Linked DNA regions of Elephas maximus indicus. The protein of the gene in region 1 purifies or fractionates together with the protein of each later gene. This does not show direct contact. Links are inferred from orthologs where the notes say so. Each region holds a gene or a part of one and is shown on either strand. Other genes may lie near its edges.

Region 1 (7,330 bases):
GATTTGCCTTTCCTGCACGCAATGCTTCTGCCAAAACTAACATCTGTGGACTGAAAGAATGCCTTATCCACCACGCATTGCCTCGGATGAAGGAACTCACTTCACAGCAAATGAAGTCCAGCAATGGGCCCATGCTCATGGAGCCCTGATGGTGCAGTGGTTATGAGCTCAGGTGCTAACCAAAAGCAGTTCGAATCCACCAGCCACTCCTTGGGAACCCTATGGGGCAGTTTTACTCTGTTCTGTAGGGTTGCTATGAGTCAGAACTGGCTCAATGGCAACAGGTTTTACCATGTTCCCTATTACCCTGAAGCAGCTGGCTTTCTAAAGACATAATTATGGTACCAGCTAGGTGGCAATACCTTGCAGGGTTGGGGCAATGTTCTCCAGGAGGCTGTATACACTCTAAACCAGTGCCCAATATATGGTGGTGTTTCTCCCATAGCCAGGATTCTTGGGTCTAGGAATCAAGGGATGGAAATGGGAGTGGCACTACTTACCACTACCCCTAGTGACACACTTGCAAAATGTTAGGTTCCTGACCTTGTGACCCTATGCTCTACAGGTTGAGATCTTAGTTAAGGAATGCTCCCACCAGGAAACACAACACTGATTTGATTGAACTGGAAGTTAATAATGCCACCCAGCCACTTTGGGCTCCCAATGCCTCTGGATCAACAGGCAAAGGGCTACGTATTGGCTGATGTAATTAATCCCGATTATCAAGGGGAAATAGGGTTGAATTACATAATGGGAGTCAAAGAAGAGTATGTCTGGAAAATAAGAGATTCCTTAGGACGTCTCTTAATGCTACCATGCCTTGTGATTAAACGCAAAACTACAGCAACCCAATTCCAACGTGACTAGTAATGGCCCAGACCCTTTAGGAATGAAGGTTTGTGTCACCCCACCAGGCAAAGAACCACAACCAGCTGCAGTGCCTGAGAGCATAGGGAATATGGAGGGGGTGGTAGAAGAAGACTGGTCTAAATAACAGCTATGACCATATCACCAGTTGCAGAAACGAGGACTGTAATTGTTTTGAGTATTTCTTCCTTGTTTTATTATATATGTGTGCATACAGCAAATGCTTTTTCTTTCCTCCGTTGTTCTATTACTTACTATAAGATATAAGACATAAAGAGAACCGGTGTGGTTTCAGTTGTACATGTTAGTTGTATCATGTTAGGCCAACCTGACTTTATAATTGTCTTTATTTAGAGATTATGTATGGTTTAAGATGTGTACAGATGCCAAGTTGGCAAGGGGTGGACTGTGATTATGGTTATGTGTCAACTTGCCAGGCCATGATTCTCTGTGGTTTGACAGATATTACGTAATCATTCTCTATTGTGTGATCTGATATGAACAGCCAATCAGTTGAAAGGGGAGTTTCCTTGGGGGTGTGGCCTGCATCCAGTATATATGGATGTTGTGGAAAAGCTCGCCCTCTCTTGATCCAGCATCCTACTTGTCATTCTCTGACCTCCAGTTCTTGGGACGAAAGCCAGCAACCTTCTGCCTGACCTGCTGATTTTGGGTTCATCAGCTCCTGTAACCATGTGAGTCAGAAGCCTGCAGCCTGATACCTCTTAACCAGGATTTGGGACCTGCCAGCCTCCACAACTGCATGAGCCATTTATTTGAGAAATAAATCCTTGTTTATATATTCACTTCACTGCTTTTGTTCCTCTAGAGAAACCAGCCTAAGACCTCCTCTAATCCAGTGCTGGTTGTGCCAGCAAATAAAAATACTGTTTATTTCAGCTGACTTACTAACAGGATTTCCCTGTGAAGGAAGCAATCGGTAAACTAACATTCTACAATAAGCTCCTTTCTTATCAAATTCATCTTCTAATGATGTCTGACCAGCACTTTAAGTAACACTTTAATTTTTCACACTGCAGCCAGAGGGCATTTTAATATGCAAATTTTATCTTGCCATTTTTTTTTTTAAACTATGATTTCTCAAGTGCTTTTAGGATAAAAGAAGACCAAATTTATGTTGTCCTTTGGTCTCATTTTAAATTTTACATCTTTTGAGAAATGCTCTTTGGTTTTCCAAGGCTAAGTTAAAACAAAAAACCAAACCCACTGCCGTCGAGTCAATTCTGACTCACAGTGACCCTACAGGACAGAGTAGAACTGCCCCACAGGGTTTCCAAGAAGCGCCTGGTGGATTCAAACTGCTGACCTTTTGGTTAGCAGCTGTAGCTCTTAACCACTATGCCACCAGGGTTTCCAAGGTTAAGTTAAAAAAAAAAAAATTCAGTGCCGTCGAGTTGATTCCGACTCATAGCGACCCTATAAGATAAAGTAGAACTGCCCCATTAAAAAAAAAGGTCTCCCTAAATGTCTCTTCAGTGGCACTTAATTGTTTATGTCTTTTCGCCTCATTATACTCTAAACTTTCTGGATCCCTAGCATAATCTTAGGCAATTAGAAACTCGGTACATATTTGATGAATGAATGAACGAACGAAGCACTGTATTTGCATGAAGTAGTTTAAAAACAGAAACATCTCAAGGGTTTTTTTTTTTTTCTCTAAGTGGTAGCTTTTAATAATGGGGTACGTTTAGTAATAATGCGCTAGGGAAAAGGTCAAAGGTAAAATTTTCTACATTCTTAAATGATATGTTAAGAGGTATATAAACACAACTCTTTTCACTTTTTCTTTTCTTCAGGCCCATGGCAGGCGCTTCAGAAGAAGGTAAACATTTACAGAGTACCTGTTATATTCCAGACAATGTTTAATAGTTCTTTCCTACAGTTCTCATTGAGAGAACTAAAGAATTTTGATTGCTCTTGCAGCAAGAGAAGGAAAAATAAAACTCAGATTCTTTTTATTACACTGTAGTAGTAACAGAAAGCTTATCTTTTGCACTTTCATTAACATTGCTTAAGTCCATATCTATCAACGACTAAATTCCTCCAGCGAGACTGCGTGTGGCTATTATAAATCTAAAAGCTTCCTATGTCAATGCTGCTAGTGAGCGATTTTCTAATTTTAATGAGAACACAGTGGGCTTTGATTGCTGACTTGCACAAGAAGATCTCTCTCTCTCATGGCGTCATTTGTGTCAAGGACCATCCTAATATAAAGGAGTAAAAGAATAGAAAAATTAAGATATCCTCCTGTCACTTTAAGAGGTAATCATCGCACGGTACTTGGGTGTTTTTCAGAAAGTGGGTAAACCTTCCCCGAAGGGAGAGAAAAATTTTGCAGATTTGCAAAATACACACACAAAAGGCAAATATGATGCTTCCCTGCTACTAGCTGGGTAGTGAAGTTATCAGTAGAAAGGGGGATCCTCCAGTGCCTTTCACACAAATGACACCTAGACTAGGTGCTCCCGTCTCCTTCACCCCCACTCCCTGCCCTGGTTACCTGTGGAAGCTGATGTTAATGTGCTTGTTGTAGGTGGCAGCACAGCCCGCCGCGGCGCAATTGGTCGGCATTTCCCTTTACCCCTCATTCGGCGTTGTCTTAAGCCTGTTCTGAGGCGATAGCGGCTATGTTTTCTGAGGGCAGAGGCTGAGCAAGTGAGGCAGAGTAAGGGTCCACCGAGGGAACAGGGTGGGAGAAAGGGTGTGTGTGGGGTGTGGGGAAAGCCCAACCTTCCCTTTCTCTTTATTAAGATGGCGGGCTGGAGCTATCAGAGTCGACCATCCTGGAGCTCCAGTCGCCTTCGTATGCCTTCACCAACATGGCGGCTACAACCCGCCCCCTCCCGCAGTAGGCAAAAAAGAAGTACGACAAGGCCGTGTCTTTGGCAGCAGTCCTCCGAGCAATCCAAGGAGGAGGTGCTTCCTCCTCCGATTACTACGAAGCTCCCTCAAGGGCGTAACTAACAACAGGCCCGCCCACCCTGGCACGTACCCAACAGACCCATTCCTGAGTCTGGCAGAGCTGTCAGCAGCATGCGGAAAGGACGAAGCCGTGCAGCGAGGACAGAAATACTCCAAATCCCACCGAGCATCGCGAAGTCCTCGTATTATCGCGTTGATAGGCAGTCTTGTTTCCTGCGTGTCGCAGGAAGTGACGTTGCGAGCATAGCCACTTCCAGAGCCCCTTTCTCGGCAGGCGGAAGAGCTCAGATCGCGGAGAAGCCAGGGGGCGCTAGGGAAGGGATCTGGGTTGCGACGGTCCGGCGAGAAAGAGCTGGGGTGCGGGGAAGTTGGGGAGCAGAGCCCGCTAGGTGTCCGAGTAGGGTAAGGCCGCACCGACCGGGTCCGTTAGGAAGAAAGGGAGGCGAGGAGGAAGGCACTTGTCGGGCGGATCCCCGGACGAAGGGCTAAGGTTGTGTGGAAGGCACTGCTCCCCGGATGGCGACCGCAGACACTCCGGCCCCGGCCTCCAGCGGCCTCTCGCCCAAGGAGGAAGGGGAGCTAGAAGATGGGGAGATTAGCGACGACGATAATAACAGCCAGATCCGGAGCCGGAGTAGCAGCAGCAGCAGTGGCGGTGGGCTGTTACCTTATTCGCGGCGAAGGCCTCACCCGACCCGGGGTGGTGGATCCGGCGGAGGCGGTGGCTCCTCCTCATCGTCGTGCTCTTCTCAACAGCAGCTGAGGAATTTCTCACGCTCGCGGCACCCTTCGGAGCGGGGCCACCTCAGGGGACACAGCAGCTACCGACCCAAAGAGCCGTTCCGGTCTCACCCGCCTTCTGTGCGGATGCCTTCGAGCTCCCTGTCCGAAAGCAGTCCCCGACCGTCCTTCTGGGAGCGGAGCCACATCGCCTTGGACCGTTTCCGCTTTAGAGGCAGGCCTTATCGGGGTGGGAGTCGCTGGAGTCGGGGACGAGGAGGGGGTGAGCGAGGAGGCAAGCCGGGGGGCCGACCTCCCCTGGGAGGAGGAACGGGTTCCGGATTCAGCAGCAGTCAGAGCTGGCGAGAGTCTTCTCCACCTCGGAAGAGTTGTATCCTTAACGTGGCGGTCTGCCTGGGTGTGTCACTTCCTAAAGTTCCCTTTAGCGTCATTACTAAGTCTGTGAAATGAGTGTAACTTTCCTGAACCATCAGAACCGCTTATTTGTCAATGTGTCGATATAAAGTAAGTTTTTGTTTGTTAATTTCCGTGTGCCACACTATTGTGTTGTTTCTTAAGATTGTTTTATTGGGTAGATTGCTTGTTTAATATTTACGTATTATGGATTGGGGCCAAACTAGTGGACTCGAAGATAGTCTACAATCAGGTTTATAATAGTATGTCACAAGTCTGCGTTTCATTAGCATTTGTTTTTGCTGATACAGGAATTTTGAGTTTTATGTGAAGTTGACTTGGATTGTTGGAGGGGAAAAAAATAAAACAGTTTTGGGAAATACTGTTGGTTATGTCACAGTGCACTTCAGACATTGAAAATGTCAAGTTTTTTCTGCATAAGCTTACTTTCCTACATGTGACTCTGTTTTTACTTTTCTTGCTTTATTTTTCACCATTGCTGCCTTTTCGATGACAGCGGGTTTGGTTTTTTGGTTTTGCTGCCTTTTAAAGTGGTTAAAAAAAAAAAGACCTGGTACCTTAACCAAGTGGATTAATTCAGACCTGAATGACATGTATCTTTTTGGAAAGTTTCACCTCCTTAACGTCTTTTTCCTATGTTCACTTTTTAGATATAACTCAAATGTGAACCAGAGAGTGAAAAATAAATTTAGCAGCATTTTTATTTTAATATATTACAAGCCATGGGGGGTGGGAGTGGGTATGGAGGGTGGAGAGGTTGAGAAGCAAAATACCAAAATATCTGATTTATACCTCCTCTAGTTTCATCCTTAGACATCGTTAACATTAGGGAGTTTACTGAGTAGTTATCGGAGGAATAAATCATCTGAGGGTTTGCTGTTTTATGATGAGTTTGGAGAACTGTGTCTTGACTTATTCTGTGAGGACTGCATAAAAGTAGTTTACTAAGCTCATTCATCACTGGATGTAATTTCCGTGGTGTAATGCTTTTTTTCTGTATTTATTATATATGAAGTGTGTACTAATAACATTTGTAAGACACTCAGAGTCATTTTTATGGAATACTTAGGCGCAAGATGGTCCTCCCCACATGTCATGATGTCATGATGTAAAAACATATATTCAGGAAAGAAACAGCAACTTCTGTTTCTAGTGCTTTGAAAAAACTTACTTCTACAACCAAAAGTTGGGTTAGGTGTATTCCAGGATTGTTTCAGAGAAAATCATGTAGATACTTATCTTTTTAAAAGACAGAAGATTTTTTTTTAATAAGGTTGGAAAACCTCTGCCCACATGGCTTTGTCAGTTAATTCTGAACCTGAACACAGATGAGCTATTTAAGCATATAATGTGTGTGTGTGCTTTTTTTTTTTCTTTTTGAGATACAGAGATAAAACTTGTAGTTTGTGTTGGGGAGACAAATGTAAATAAATACAGCTTTGTGTAAAAAGTTCAAATTGAGGTGTGTAAGAAGTACTGTGAGAGTTCAAAACTTTTAAACGTATTTTCTGTATTAGATAAGGGGGTGATGAGTGGGCTTGCTTACCTCATGCCTTTGTCCCTTTTTCTGTATGCAGTTATGTTCATTCATTCAATAACAGTTTGGGCCTTTGTCATACCTTTGCCAATTGTCAAGCTTATGTGTTTTTATTGAACAGCCATGTGATGAGAAAAAGTACAGGAAAATATCCAGCCTGCCTGTGTGACTTTGGGCTAGTTATTTAACTTTGTTGGATTTCAGTTTTTTAATCTTAATTTTTAAAATTTGGGATAACAGCTAAGAATGTTGAGAGAATGAGGTGAACTAAACTTACTGAACATATTTTGAAATTTTAAAAGGATGTTCATTTTTACAATGTATTGACTTGTAACTTCTCAGAAGTGAGCTATCTTGCTGTTTTTCTTTTTGCAGATGCGGCTGTTAAAAAAGGATGCTTGTTTTGATTTCCTGCCCATTAGTTTCCTGGTGAAGTATCACTAATCCAGCCTAGAGGTAGTGTTCTTTGTAAGAACTTAAGAAGGAAAACATAGTTCCCAGCCTCTTTTGTATATCATGAGCAAATAAAATTTGTAATACAAAGCTTTATTACTTCAAATTCCATTGATATGAATGTTGTACTTAGTTAATTCATATTTCCACTGAATGACCATAATAATGACATTTTGATTTTACAGATATTGCAATAGAGTTGTTCTGTGACTTACTTCCATAATCTAGAAGGGAAGTGGAAATAAGTTACAAAATAATTCCTAATTTTTTTTAACTCAATAGTTGTAAAATTAAAATATCATTATTATGATCATGCAGTGGAAGTATGAACTAAACTAAGTACAACTTTGACATCAAAAGGAATTTGAAGTGATA
Region 2 (7,691 bases), on another chromosome or scaffold:
GTTGTTAGGCGCTGTTGAGTTGGTTCCAACTCATAGTGACCCTACAGGACAGAGTAAAACTACCCCATAGGGTTTCCAACAAGTGGCTGGTAGATTTGAGCTGCCAACCTTTAGGTTAGCAGCTGAGCTCTCAGGACCATACAAATAAGATGTAACAAAGGGATTGGTCAGTTTTGGAATCACGCTAGGCTTATAAGAGAGCCAATCCCAGAACAGAGAGGGAATATCACTAACACCAAGAAGAAGAGCTGGGAGCATGTCCTTTGGACCTGGGGTCTCTGCACTGATACTGTCCTATACCCAGGAGAGAGAAAGCAAGAGAGAGAGAAAGAGAGCTGTTCCACCAGAGACAGCGTGACATGGTGAGAAGCTGTTGCAGAGAAATGGCGGCAGAAGACCCAGGAGACGGAGCGGTCGGCTGAAGCCCACAGAATAAGGCAGCTACAGTGGGTGTCCTGACCCATGGAGTGAGAAGGCTGAGTGCCTTCTGGCAGGAGGTTACCTGGCGGAGTGGGGTCAGAGAAGCTAGGTTCACCAACCTATGGAGTGAGAGATGAATGCCTTCAGGCAGAAGATTTTCTGGCGGAGTGGGGTGCCTCTGGGAACCTATCAGCAGAGCTTGTTGGAGAAGGGCAGAGGAGAGGCCCAGGGGCTGAGGGAGAGGCCGTCCTGTGGGCACAGCTGAAAAGCTGTCCTGACCAAAGAACTGTATCCTGAGTTGTTCCTGATCCTGATTTGTAACCTGTTACTTCCCTAATGAACCCCATAACTGTGAATATGGTCTGTGAGCTGTGTGTGGCCATTGCAATGAATTATCAAACCCAGCAAAAAAGCACAGAGTATTGCGGGAGGGATGGCTGGTGTCAGAATTGGTAAAAAGGTTGAAGGGTGGTATATCTGACCTCCAGCTCATAGCAATCAGCCTTGGGCTATTAATGCTGATGACTCTCCTCCCCCCTTGTGAAGTTAGATGAGGAGGTATGACGCCCCACTCCACTTTTACACCTCCAGTCCCCAAATGCTGACCAAATCAGAGGAGTTCAAGTACATCTAACAACAAATGAGTCAGGATTAACTCTTCAATCCTCTCATCTATGCTCCATACTTAGCTTTGGCTGAACTTTGGATCCTGAGTCTGTAGCTGCTCCACTTATTTTCACAGGACACTCTACGTAAAGTTTCTCTTGCAATCCCGTGGGTAAGTTCCTTCTTGTCAACAATCAAAATTGCTAACCCAAATTGAAAAACCTGGGTAACTTTCTCCCTTTTCCTTTGCTTTCAATGTTCAATTAAGTCTCCAATCCCAGCCATTTGGGTGGGAGTGGATAATTTTTTCTTAAAATTAATTTCTTCCTTCCTAACTCCACAGTCATATCTCTGATCTGAGCCCTAAACACCTAGTACATATTCATCCGGCCTATTCTAAGAGCCAAAACAACTTCTAAAATGTTTTCAAATTTCTGCTCTCAACACATTCAACTTCTCCAAAATCTTGTTGCTGTTAGTTCCCACTGAGCCAATTCCAACTCGTGGTGACCCCATGTGTGCAGAGTAGAAACTGCTCCATAGGGTTTTCAAGACTGTGACCTTTTGAAAGCAGATCTCCAGGCTTGTCTTCTCAAGTGCCTCTGGGTGGGTTCGAACTGCCAACCTTCCAGTTAGTAGCTGAATACTTAACCATTTGAGACAGCCAGGTACCCATCTAACAATAATGAGTGTTCAGTGACAAGAAGTATAGTGATTTAAACGGGTTCTGGAGGCAGACTGCCTGAGTTTGTGTCCTGTGTACACTACTTACTAGCGATGCAAATTTAGACAAGTTACTTACTTCTCTGTTTTATTTGCCTCAGTTGTAAAAGAGGAATAATGACAACTGTACCACCTCAGTGGGTTATGGTCAGGATTAAATGGGTTAATATACGAAAAGCACTCAGGATACTGCCTGGGACATAGTAAGGACTAAAAATGCTCGTTATTATTATTTATGTTTTAAGTCTTCTTTGTTTGCCCATCTCGATTTCTGTACACATTTTATCTACCCTTGTTATTTTTTCCATTTTGAAATTCTTGGGTTAAGATGACTTCAATCTCAACTCTAAAAATCAATTTTGCTTAAAGCTGGGTGACATAACTCACTTTCACCTCAACTATTAACATTCTTTCCATTCCCACCACCACTGCACTCATTCTGGTAACCATCAACCCTCACCTGGACCATCAGAACTTTTAACTCGTCTTCCAGACTGCAACTGTGTCTTCTGTCAGGCCTTCCTTCCACCAATGCATTCCCTACAGGGCAGTTAAAGTAACCTTTAAAAGTAAAAAGCACAGCCAATGATACTGTTCCCTGCGCTCAATAGCTTTCCACTGCTCTTAAGGCAAAAAAAAAAAAATCCTTAACCTCAACTAAAGTGCCATGGCTATTAACGCTGCCTTCACCCCCAGCCTCACTGCTCGGTACTTTCCCTCCAGCTGTATCACTGATTTATCTTTGGTTTCTAGGGAGGAAAAAGATTATTTTTCGTGCCTCTCAGATTTCTAACACTCCTTCACGCCTCTCCCTCAGCTCAGGTCTATGCTCACCACCTTCTGCTTACCCTTCAGTCTCTACTGAAGGGCCACTTTCCGCGAGAATTCCAAGTAAGTTCCCCCGGCTTCGGACACTTCCACCGTCCTACGCTTAGCACGCTGTATTCTCCTTGTTTAAGCGTCTGTCTCCCGTATCCGACAGCGGGTTTCAAGAGTCGGCCTCATTCACAATCTGATTCCCGGCGCCTAACGCAGAGCTGGTGCTAAGTGAATGAATGAACGCGAAAGCTGGGGGTCCCCCAAGGCCTTGCCGGCACCTCCCGTACGCACACCGCCTCGGCCCCGGCCAGGCCCGGAGGACCAGGTGCCCCTACCCCAGCCCGCCCCAAGTCCCCGCACCTTCATGCGCAGCAGGTTCTTGGACAACTTGGTCTTGTGTTCGGCCGCCATGCTGCCCCAGCCCAGCGCCGTGCTCCGTGCGCTGCGTGCGTGGCGGCGTCTTACGTAACGCGGCGTTCCCCCCCCCATGGCTCCGCCCCGTCCCTCGAGTTCCAGCGCAATCTGGGTCTTCGTCAGTCCCTTGTGGGACGGTCATCTGCTGAAGGAGCGTCGTGCTGCCCGCCGACGCTAGGGTGAGAGCAGCTTAAATGCCATGGGGAGACCCCAAAGAGCACGAAATCAGACGAGCGCGAGAGAGAGCCTGGCCCGCAGCTGAGGTCCCCACACGCGAGTGAAGGGTGCGTTCCTCAGGGTCTCAGGGCTGCCCGCCTCAGGGACCCCTCCCTGCCCCACGTCCTGGACCGTTGTTATTTAACAGGGGTCTTAGGCTTACTGTGTTCTGGACCACTTTCCATCTAATAGTTCATTTTACGTTTAAACTAACCCTGTGAGGTGGATATCATTCCCTTGTTGCAGTTGGGTAAACTGAGGTGTCAGGAGGTTCATTAAGTAGTCTGAAGTAACTGAGTGAGGGAGGTGGGTGTAAACCCAGGCAGTCTGACTCCAGAATGGCTCTTAACCACTATGCAAACAAATAAGATGAAAAACAATGTTAGGTTCCTTTATTAACTGTTGTTCTCCCTAAACGATCTCTTTGCTAAAGAGCGATAGCAACAGATGGGGAAGATGACAGATGTTAGACTCAGGAGCACAAGAAGACCTGGTTTTCATCTAAAGAATTGTAAGAACGTTGAAAAGGGAAAGTTATAATGCGAAGGAGCCCAGTAGTGCAAAGGTTAAGCTCTTGGCTGCTGACCTTTGCTAACCAAAGTGTTAAGATTCTAACCCACCCAGCTGCTCTGTGGAAGAAAGGCCTGGCAAACTGCTTCAGTAAAGAGTACAGCCTAGGAACCCCTATCGGGCAGCTAGGAGTCACAATCGACTCGGCACCTAACAACAGTTATAATGCTCTTAATTTATGCTGTTTGTACCACCTAAAGGCATCTTTCACACTGTTGGCAGGTCCCACACTTTGGAAAACATCACCCAACCTAATAGCATTTCAGCAAATACCCACAAAAACCCAGTGCCGTCGAGTCGATTCCGACTCATAGCGACGTGCATTATATACCATACTCTTGTGCTGGGTACCTCGTGTGTAATTTTTTTTTTTTTTAATTGGATCCTAATAAGAACTCTGAAGAAGATATTGTTATCATCATGATATAGTTAGGGAACCTGAGACCCAGAGAGGTGAAGGGACTTGCCCAAGGCCACACAGCTAATAAAGTGTTAGAGCTGAGATTTAAATAGTTTTTTGAATGTTGCTGATAAAAATACGGCTCTGACTTGCAGGTTACCTCAGTGGAGTAAATAAATGCAATCTGATTTGGTAAGTGGATACCGAACCACATTCATTCATAACTGTGTGTCAGACATCGTGCTAATGTGTGAGGTACAATAGTGAGTAAAAGCACATGACCTGTCTTTCCTGGAGCTGACATTCTGGACATAAATAAGTGGTGAGTACAATGGAATAGGGTGCTATGATTGAGTGACTTTTAGGGTTACTTTAGATGAGCTGATCTGGGATGGTCCTTGTCAAACGATAGTGCTAAGGCTTGACAGTTGAGAGGAAAAAAAAAAACCCTAATGTATGAAGAGTTGGAGATAGAGTGTTCTAAAAGGATCGACTAGCAACTGCAATGGCCCTGAAATGAGAACAAGACAGTTCCTGTTGTCATGGAGTTTATCTAGTGGGAGCAACAGCTGTAGATTACAGTTGTGATAAGAGCCTTATAAGAAAAGTCTGGAGTACAGTGAGGGTATAGCAAGGGCAGCTAATCATTCTGGCCTGGGAAAGGGAAGGACTCCCCTAAAGGTGTGGTATTTAAGCTGAGATCTGAAAGGAGAGAAATTAGCCTGGGAAAAGACCTTTCAATCCTAGATAATTGTGTATAAGAAGGCCCTGAGGACAAACCAGAATTCAACCAGTTGCCTTTCTTTGAGTTGGCAACCCTATATGTTGCAGAGTGGAACTGTGCCTCATAGGGTTTTCAAGGCTGTGACCTTTTGGAAGCAGATCACGGGGCCTGTCTTCTGAGGCACCTCTGTGGATTTGAATGGCCAACCTTCAGGCTACAGCTTGCTTAATAGTTTGTGCCACCCAGGGACTCCTGCCCTGAGGCCAGGAGGTACTTATTCAGCCCATGGAATAGAGAAGAGTGTCTGGAGTGGAGAGATGGAGAGACAGAAAGGGAACTCCACAGGACATGGGACTAGAGAGAAAGGCTGAGGTTGAATCAGGCAGGGCCTTGTGGGTTCTGTTCAGGATTTTGAAAGAAGTGCTATGGGAGCAGAAGTGAAGAAGTGACTCAGTCTGCAGTCTGCCTCCAAGAAACTAAGGTGACTCTGAACTTGTTCTTGAAGGATGAGCATATGTCTTGTCAGCTTCTAAAGAGGAAAATGGTGTTCCCAACAGAAGAACATGTGTGAACCTTTGAAGGATGCCAGAAGCTCCACACCCCTCTTATGGACCTCTGTTGTTACCAGTCTACCTGCATATTGGATTCTGATTGATTTTTCTGAAACATTGATTTTATCATATCACTCACCTGCTCCAGAACTTATAATAGCTCATTTTTGCCTGGGGGATAGAGGTCAAACTCTTCAACCTGCCATTCAAATTTATACATTTTATTTGGCAGTGAAAATGCTTATGTTAAAAACTAAGCCCCAAAGTCTCTTTTCGCTCATCAAAATGTAGTAAACAAGAAGTGACTTAAGAGTAATAGTGTAATAGCCTTTAAATTCCCTGACAGAGAAGATAACTCCTTGATCTCTCTTTGTTACTGAATTGTAGAACAGAAAGGATAGGTCTCACACTCAATAATGTGTTAACCTGCATTAGTTATACAGCCGAGGAAACATCGTTTCGGTGGAAAGAATATTTCTAATAGGTCTTCACACAATTCTGAGTCCTTTAATAATGGAAGTTGTTGGAAGTGTGAAAGCCAACAATACCTGCCATCTATCGAATCCATTAAGGAAAGGTTTTCCCAAGTCTCTTCACCCTTGGAGCAGATCATATTTAAACCTATGCTGCCCAGTGCAGTAGCCACTAGCCAAGTGTGGATATTGAGCACTTGAAATGGGACTGAGGAACTCAATTTTTAATTTTTGTTAATTTATATTTTTAAAAACAGTATAAAATATTTTTTGTTATACACAACTTTATTGTTTTGGAAGGACTTTCTTTCACTTTAACCTTTGAAAATTTGGCGTCCAAACTGAGATGTACTGTATAGTGTCACTATGAGTCGGAATTGACTGGAAGACAGTGGGTTTTTGTTTGTGTAAAGTGTAAAATACCAGATTTGAAAGACAAAATGAAAAATAAAATGTCAACTCATTAATATTTTTTCATATCAATTATATGTTGAATAGCAGTAGATATATTGGTTTAAATAAAACAGTATTAGAATGAATTTCACCTGTTTCTTTTACTTATTTTTAATGAGGCTGCTAGAAAATTTAAAATTATATGTGGGGCTTGCACTTTTTTTTTCTTTTTTGACAGCATTGATTTAAAGACTATAGTGCTTATACATGTCTTCCCAGTGTGGAAAGTAGAGTAGGAAAGGAGTCTGGGATGGGGAGAACTCTTATGCAAGGAGATCATGAAGGTGGTATATTAGGTATTACTTGTTTTCCTCTCAAGTACTAGAAACCAACAATGGCTTATTAAATAAATTAAAAAAAAAAAAAGAATTTATTAGAAGAATAAATAAAAACCAAGTCACTCATGGATTGATGAGAAGGCCTGAGTACAAGGCCAAGTTGAAAGCTTGGAGGTTCAAGCCCACCTAGAGGTACCTCAGAAGAAAGGCCTGGAAATCTACATGGGGCCGCCATGATTTGGAACGGACTCGATGGTAACTGGTAACCTTAACCAGTTGCCATCAAGTCAGCTCTGACCCATGGCAACTCTATGTGTGTCAGAGTAGAACTGTGCTCCGCAGAACTTTCAATGGCTGATTTTTCAGACGTAGATCTCTGGCCCTTCTTCCAAGGTGCCTCTGGGTGGACACCAGCCTTTCACTTAGCAGCTTAGCATATTAACTGTTTGTACCACCCAAGGACTCTTTGCTCTTAGGATACTTAAATTTTCAAAGTCCAGGAGAAAGTGGAGTCTTAGCTGAGGGAGGGCAAGATCTGATTGACAGTACTGGCAAGACTGCACACTGTCGGGGAGAGGTAGTTCCTTAAAGAGAAATTGGATGCTGTTATTCAAGAGCTAATCACGATAGCCCAAACAGCAACACCAACGATAAGTATCTACTTAAGGCAGGAAAGAGGAGAGTTCTGTTGAGACAGCCCCAGAGTACAAGTAATTAGATTATCACTTGGGAAACTCATGTGCAATATCAAATCTGTCCTCTCACAAAATGTACTTCTTCCTGCTTCCCTGTGTCATTCATTAGACAAGTATTTAGTGATTGCCTGCTGTACACAGATTGTGACTCCAGGTCATCCAGCCTGAAAATCTAAGCAGTGTAATACATTCTGCTCTTGTATTCAGTCATTTATCAAGTCACAGCAATTGTTTGGAAACCATGATGGCGTGGCGGTTAGGTGCTACGGCTGCCAACCAAAAGGTCGGCAGTTCAAACCCATCAGGCGCTCCTTGGAAACTCTGGGGCAGTCCTGCTCTGTCCTGCAGG

Evidence for each region.
Region 2: the proteins of ZFC3H1 (region 1) and MPHOSPH6 purify together in Homo sapiens (affinity purification with mass spectrometry; 3 studies listed by BioGRID and IntAct, with this or other methods). This does not show direct contact. The link is inferred for Elephas maximus indicus from reciprocal best matches to the Homo sapiens genes ZFC3H1 and MPHOSPH6.

What each region holds. Positions count from the first base shown.
Region 1 is NC_064822.1:133,175,449-133,182,778, reverse strand, and holds the start of ZFC3H1 (zinc finger C3H1 domain-containing protein), read left to right. Parts: upstream 1-4,326; coding exon 4,327-4,921; intron 4,922-7,222; exon of another isoform or gene 7,223-7,330. Other genes in the region: THAP2 (THAP domain-containing protein 2), read right to left, coding at 3,389-3,459. UniProt on the Homo sapiens protein: Subunit of the trimeric poly(A) tail exosome targeting (PAXT) complex, a complex that directs a subset of long and polyadenylated poly(A) RNAs for exosomal degradation. The RNA exosome is fundamental for the degradation of RNA in eukaryotic nuclei.
Region 2 is NC_064839.1:48,078,849-48,086,539, forward strand, and holds the start of MPHOSPH6 (M-phase phosphoprotein 6), read right to left. Parts: upstream 3,003-7,691; 5' UTR 2,980-3,002; coding exon 2,929-2,979; intron 2,845-2,928; exon of another isoform or gene 2,598-2,844; intron 2,290-2,597; exon of another isoform or gene 2,219-2,289; coding exon of another isoform or gene 2,210-2,218; intron 1-2,209. UniProt on the Homo sapiens protein: RNA-binding protein that associates with the RNA exosome complex. Involved in the 3'-processing of the 7S pre-RNA to the mature 5.8S rRNA and play a role in recruiting the RNA exosome complex to pre-rRNA; this function may include C1D.